Saccharomyces cerevisiae S288C: one gene and its partner. The protein of the gene in region 1 interacts with the protein of each later gene in a pairwise test. Each region holds a gene or a part of one and is shown in the gene's direction. Other genes may lie near its edges.

Region 1 (3,600 bases):
TAATAATAGTAAGGAAATTCTCACTTTATCACCCAAATCTATGGTGACTACGGGGCCTACAGAATTGTCGTTTTCCTCTTTATCAACCGTGGGAGGACATCCGACAACGCCAGTCTCAAAAGAAAATGATCGAGTTTCAATAGATGGCGTGAGTACATTTAATCGAGCATCAACATCTCTTCCAGAATCATCAACAGACGACATCTCTCCACTACGCGAAGAAGGTAAGATTAATGTTCCTAAAAGAACGTCAAGTAGAAAGATACTGTCTAAAAATTCAAGCAAAAAAAATGTACTGCCTGAACAGCAAACAAAGCCAAGTGAAATATATCTGGATAAAGAAGCCTTACAAAGTTTTGTTCCCGTACTCTCTGTCACAGAGGGTACTCATCGCATCAATCGCTCGTCGTTACAAACGCAATCTACCATCGGATTATGCATTACCAATTTAAGAAACAAAGAAGGCATGAAGCTCAATGCCAAGGAATACGTGGAAATCCTGGCTCAGCAGCAACGCAAGGAAGATGAAAGGTATGCTGTTTTGGAAAGAAAATTTGCATCTTGTAGATGGTGCAGTGATAAGGACCTGCAGTATTTGAAAAAGAAACGAATTTCCATGAATAAGATATGGTCTGATTATGTCCGATTTTACCGTGGAAAGTTGAACAACCCATGAAGGAAAAAGGTCTTGGCTATATATAACGGCAGACAAAATATAAGTATACACGTATATATGGTGGTAAACACGCATATACTGTATGCCATGTATTTACCATTACATAGTTATTTACGCACTCTATAAAAAGTTAACATTGCATTTTAATAAATTCCTTAAATTACTCTAATTAGGATGGTAGCCCTACCTTTTTTTTTTTTGGCACACATGGTCAACTTTTCTTCTCATGCTTTAAAAGGCGAGAAAAAATGAAAATTAGCAAAATGACCTTTCCCTCCTTCCCACATTGAATATATACACTGGAAGATATAAGCAACCAGTACTGTAGATAAAAAAGATCACTACGATATTCGTCGGACTCCAGTCGGAGTGCAGTGCCCGATTACTCTTAATTGCACGCATCGTGCCAAGTTTAATTGGTATTGCTCGAACATCTAGGAATAAGAGAAGGACTTACTTTAGAATGATGAAAGAGGTAGCAATTTGCAGCAGATTTTTCGTGATTGAATCAAACAAAGATTAACCTTTACAGAACCGCTACACTGATACTAATGTAAGAAACATTTCCTTTATTTTTTTTCTAGCCCGTAGTGTACTCTTATAGTTTTGATATTTCCTTTCTATCTTTGTAAATGTAAATAATCACATTTGTCTGACAACACACTTGTTGCCACTAATTATTTCAACAAGCTGGCATAGCTGATCTTATTAATCTTGTAGACCGTTCAGGATGACTGGGCTATATTATGGCGTTAACTTTCGCGTTGGATTACCTTTTTATGCGATGACAAGATGCCGATAATAGGTATTTACTTTCACAAGTACGTGTACGCAATTCTAAAGGAAGTATATCAAATAAAAGGGCGTGGTACATAAAAGCTATATCCCTAGCATGACCAGTCTAATAGATTTGGGCAGATATGTTGAAAGAACGCATCATGGAGAAGATACAGAGCCAAGATCGAAAAGGGTAAAAATCGCAAAACCTGACTTGTCTTCCTTCCAACCAGGCAGCATTATTAAGATCCGTTTACAGGATTTTGTTACTTACACTTTAACCGAATTCAATCTTTCACCGTCTTTAAATATGATCATTGGGCCAAACGGATCTGGAAAATCTACTTTCGTATGCGCAGTGTGTTTAGGATTGGCTGGTAAACCCGAGTATATTGGTAGGAGTAAAAAAGTGGAAGATTTCATCAAAAATGGTCAAGATGTTTCAAAAATTGAAATCACCTTGAAAAATTCACCAAATGTTACTGATATTGAATACATAGACGCACGTGATGAAACAATAAAGATTACCAGGATTATTACGAGATCCAAGAGGAGATCGGATTATCTAATAAATGACTACCAGGTATCTGAGAGTGTAGTTAAAACTTTAGTTGCTCAGCTGAACATTCAGTTGGATAATCTTTGTCAATTTTTATCTCAAGAGCGTGTTGAGGAGTTTGCTCGCTTGAAGTCAGTTAAATTATTAGTAGAGACTATAAGGTCAATCGATGCAAGCTTATTGGATGTGTTGGATGAACTAAGGGAATTACAAGGAAATGAGCAAAGCTTGCAAAAAGATCTCGATTTTAAAAAAGCTAAAATTGTTCATTTGAGACAAGAAAGTGATAAACTACGTAAATCAGTTGAATCTTTACGAGATTTTCAAAATAAGAAGGGTGAAATCGAGTTACACTCCCAACTATTACCTTATGTGAAAGTAAAGGACCATAAAGAAAAGCTAAACATATATAAAGAAGAATACGAACGAGCGAAAGCGAACTTAAGGGCTATACTGAAGGATAAAAAACCATTTGCAAATACTAAGAAGACTTTGGAAAATCAGGTGGAAGAGTTAACAGAGAAGTGTTCCCTAAAAACTGATGAGTTCCTGAAAGCAAAAGAAAAGATCAACGAAATCTTCGAAAAATTAAATACTATTAGGGATGAGGTCATCAAAAAGAAAAACCAGAACGAATATTATAGAGGAAGAACCAAAAAACTACAGGCCACCATTATTAGTACAAAGGAAGATTTTCTAAGGAGTCAGGAAATATTAGCACAAACACATCTTCCTGAGAAAAGCGTATTTGAAGATATAGACATTAAAAGAAAGGAAATTATTAATAAAGAAGGCGAAATTAGGGATCTTATTTCCGAAATTGATGCGAAGGCGAACGCTATTAATCATGAGATGAGAAGCATACAGAGACAAGCTGAAAGCAAGACCAAATCCCTTACAACAACTGATAAAATCGGTATCTTAAATCAGGACCAGGATTTAAAGGAGGTCCGTGATGCTGTGTTGATGGTTAGAGAGCATCCAGAAATGAAAGATAAAATTCTAGAACCGCCAATAATGACCGTGTCTGCCATTAACGCTCAATTTGCTGCATATTTAGCACAATGTGTGGATTATAATACGAGTAAAGCCTTGACTGTTGTTGATTCTGATTCTTACAAGCTATTTGCAAATCCAATTCTTGACAAATTCAAGGTTAATTTGAGAGAACTCTCCAGTGCAGACACCACCCCTCCTGTACCAGCGGAAACGGTGAGGGACCTGGGATTTGAGGGTTATCTATCCGATTTTATTACCGGTGATAAGAGGGTTATGAAAATGCTTTGTCAAACTAGCAAAATTCATACTATACCGGTATCAAGAAGGGAATTGACGCCTGCTCAGATAAAGAAGTTGATTACACCAAGACCGAATGGGAAAATTCTTTTTAAAAGGATTATTCATGGGAATAGGTTAGTCGATATCAAGCAATCAGCATATGGTAGTAAGCAGGTCTTTCCTACTGACGTTAGTATTAAACAAACTAATTTTTATCAGGGATCAATCATGTCAAATGAGCAGAAAATTAGAATTGAAAATGAAATTATCAACTTAAAGAATGAATACAACGATCGAAAATCTACGTTAG
Region 2 (4,147 bases), on another chromosome or scaffold:
TTAATCCAAAAAATTTCGTATTTGAGAAGTAAGACAGTGAATCGAAGTGGTTCTCCTATGGATTGTTTTAGACCCTGGGAACGTCACTGCGGTGTTTTCGCCCGTCATACCAAGATGGGGCGGAGAACGGAAAATTTGATGGCGAATGTACACTGCCAAGGACAAACAGGGACGATAAAGTGTTAAAGTGGTGATATAGTCGGATCCGCGGTTAGCCGTAACCATTGCTTTCCAATGGTTTACGCCTGTAAAAAGAGCAACTTAGATAATTGTCGGCTTCACGTAATTAAGACGTATTAACTCAAAGGAAAAGAAAAGAGGGAATATGGTAAAGGAGACGGAGTATTATGATATTTTGGGCATCAAGCCTGAGGCCACGCCCACTGAAATCAAAAAGGCCTATCGTAGAAAGGCTATGGAAACACATCCGGACAAGCATCCTGATGACCCAGATGCTCAAGCAAAGTTTCAAGCCGTAGGCGAGGCCTACCAAGTCTTAAGTGATCCAGGGCTTCGTTCCAAGTATGACCAGTTTGGTAAGGAGGATGCTGTTCCTCAGCAAGGATTTGAAGATGCTTCTGAATACTTTACAGCAATATTCGGTGGTGATGGCTTCAAAGATTGGATTGGAGAATTTTCTTTGTTCAAAGAGCTAAACGAGGCAACAGAAATGTTTGGAAAGGAAGATGAGGAGGGTACAGCAGCCACTGAAACCGAAAAAGCAGATGAGAGCACTGATGGTGGAATGGTTAAGCATGACACTAATAAAGCTGAATCTTTGAAAAAAGATAAATTATCGAAGGAGCAAAGAGAGAAGCTAATGGAAATGGAGAAAAAAAGACGGGAAGATATGATGAAACAAGTCGACGAGTTGGCAGAAAAACTGAACGAAAAAATCTCTAGGTACTTAATTGCTGTGAAGTCCAATAACTTGGAGGAATTTACGCGAAAACTAGATCAAGAAATCGAGGATTTGAAATTAGAAAGTTTTGGTCTAGAGTTATTGTATTTATTGGCCAGGGTTTACAAGACAAAAGCGAATAATTTTATCATGTCCAAGAAGACTTACGGAATTTCTAAAATATTCACTGGTACACGCGACAATGCTAGATCTGTTAAATCAGCATACAATTTATTGTCTACAGGCTTAGAAGCTCAAAAAGCCATGGAAAAAATGAGTGAAGTCAATACTGACGAACTAGACCAATATGAACGTGCCAAATTTGAGTCCACAATGGCTGGTAAGGCACTTGGTGTCATGTGGGCTATGTCGAAATTTGAACTGGAAAGAAAACTAAAAGACGTTTGCAATAAGATTCTAAACGATAAAAAGGTCCCTTCCAAGGAACGTATTGCAAAGGCAAAAGCAATGCTGTTTATTGCCCACAAGTTTGCCAGTGCTAGAAGGTCACCAGAAGAAGCTGAAGAAGCTAGAGTTTTTGAAGAGCTAATCCTAGGTGAGCAGGAGAAGGAACACAAAAAACATACTGTGGCCAGATAAGCTCAGCAAGTTAATAACGCCTCATGTATATTTTTCATATATAGCGCAATCAATTACAAAGCGAAGAAAAAAAACCCTATGTATTCTAGACATATCACAGGCATACGGGTTTTCTCACACCAACCTTTCAAGTCTTCAGCACTTATGTTTTAACTTATTTTCTATTATTCAGTATATATATGGAATTAACACTGGCAACCCAAGCATCTTAGCCGAGATTCGCGGAGAAAATTGAAATCAAGAATAATAAAAATTCTTGATTCACGGTCATAAGAGGCTGAAGCAACAGCAACCGGCTCCCCAAGAACTACAATACGCGTCCGATATACTTTCTTATCAAATATATTGGTAATAATAAAGGCTGCAGTTCTTTTTTTAATATAGTCTTTTTACATTTATTGCAGCTAACAAACGCAATTTTTCTTTCCCTTTCACTCGTGCGGTTTTACCAGGATTGATTATATCGCACTGTGACACTATGGATTCACAAAGAAGCCATCATATTTTAACGAGATTAACCAAGATACGGAGAAGACCTCAACAACCGTTAACCGACTTTACAGAACTTTACAGTAGAATTGCCAATGAGACAATATATTACTTGAACCTAGAAGAGAAAAAACGATATAAAGAAGCATTGCAAGGATGGAAAGCGCTTACCACTGATGTACTATTCAAACAGACATTGATAGAGCATAACTACCCAAATACTCAATCATACACGAAAGATGAAGTTAGTTTACAGAACGGTATTCGAGAATTGTACCACAAGAGCGTTATGCATTTGAAAAGAGTCAAAAAATTGGTCCGAGAAGAGCCTGCTCCCAGGAATGATATGCCGTCATCCAAAACATACACTAATCATAGCTCATCTTTCACAAGGTCTACTGAACCACCTCCTGTATTCCAAATGGTTCCCGGAAGAATGATGAAAACATTAAGAAATAGAAATGCATGCGGCTATAAAACCGCATACTCCAACCCCTCACTATCATCATATGGTAACAGCACATCGATAAAACGCGGAGAAGATGCGGAGAACATTAGAGTAAATTTTGTACCTTCTAAGCCTTTATCCAACAATGCAAGCAGACAGCACAAGAACCCTATTGAGCACAATGATCCTCCACTTAAGAAGGAAACTGAACTGTACTCAGATAAATATATCTCAGAGCCAATATTGATAGATTTGACTAATGACGAGGATGATCACGATGTCGGCATTTTAAAAGGACACAACGTTTTTGATGAAGAAGAAAGTGATGGTTTCGAGTTTGATGTGTCCGATTACTATGATAATTTCTCCGAAGTCGACGTAGAAGAAGAAGAAGAAGAAAAAGAGGAAAGACGACGTATAAAAACGTTAGAAGCAATTCAACAGCAAATGTCTGACTTGTCTGTTACTTCTTCTACGTCCAGTAATAAGAGTGTAAGTTCTTCAGAAAATGTTCCCGGATCATGCATACAGTCCCTGCCGACTACCGCCCCTGCTCTTCCTTCATTACCTCCACCTCCTTTATTAAATGTCGATAGAGCGTCCAGCACTGGCGCTCTAAAGCCACATAGTTTAGAAACTTCTACTACTATGGATTCATCAAAGATTAGGAATCCTCAAATATCAAAATTAATGAAGAATAATCACGTACCATACTTAAAGGGTACCAAATCAACGCCCACTCTTATCACTAAATCAACGCCAACATTTATTACAAGATCAAAAAGTAATACAAAACCAATCATCAAATCCAATGCATCGTCTCCGACCTCTTCTCTGACTGTTCCAAATTCAGTAATTCAAAAACCCAAAACGGCTGCAATGGCTGCTAAGAGAGTTCTGAACAGCAAAAAGGTTGCGAGTAACCCCGCATTAAACACTACGAAGAAGAGTCACCCCATTTTGAAATCCAAAACGGCGAAAGTCCCAAATTCCAGTTCGAAGAAAACGAGTAGCCATCCTTCCAGACCTGTAAGTAACTCAAAACCATACTCGCATGGTGCATCCCAGAATAAGAAGCCATCGAAAAATCAAACCACGTCTATGAGTAAAACGAATCGAAAAATACCAGCACAAAAAAAAATCGGTTCTCCAAAAATAGAAGATGTTGGAACAGAAGATGCCACTGAACATGCCACTTCCCTAAATGAGCAAAGAGAAGAGCCTGAAATAGACAAGAAAGTCCTGAGGGAGATTTTAGAAGATGAAATTATTGATAGTTTACAAGGTGTAGATAGGCAAGCTGCAAAGCAAATTTTTGCCGAAATCGTAGTGCACGGAGATGAAGTTCATTGGGATGATATTGCTGGTTTAGAAAGTGCAAAATATTCTTTGAAGGAAGCAGTTGTCTATCCGTTTTTGAGACCAGACTTATTCAGGGGGTTACGTGAACCAGTCAGGGGGATGCTCTTATTTGGACCACCAGGTACAGGTAAAACAATGCTAGCGAGAGCTGTAGCTACAGAGTCGCACTCCACCTTTTTCTCTATTAGTGCTTCCAGTTTGACATCTAAATACTTGGGTGAAAGTGAAAAATTAGTGAGGGCACTATTTGCAATTGCCAAAAAATTGTCACCTTCTATAATATTTGTTGATGAAATTGACTCTATCATGGGTAGTAGGAATAACGAAAATGAAAATGAGTCAAGCCG

The links.
Region 2: the proteins of SMC5 (region 1) and SAP1 interact in a two-hybrid assay, tested with the Saccharomyces cerevisiae proteins (2 studies listed by BioGRID).

Annotation. Positions count from the first base shown.
Region 1 is NC_001147.6:258,355-261,954, forward strand, and holds the start of SMC5 (DNA repair ATPase SMC5), read left to right. Parts: upstream 1-1,568; coding exon 1,569-3,600. Other genes in the region: YOL036W (uncharacterized protein), read left to right, coding at 1-676.
Region 2 is NC_001137.3:244,336-248,482, reverse strand, and holds the start of SAP1 (putative AAA family ATPase SAP1), read left to right. Parts: upstream 1-1,979; coding exon 1,980-4,147. Other genes in the region: CAJ1 (Caj1p), read left to right, coding at 326-1,501.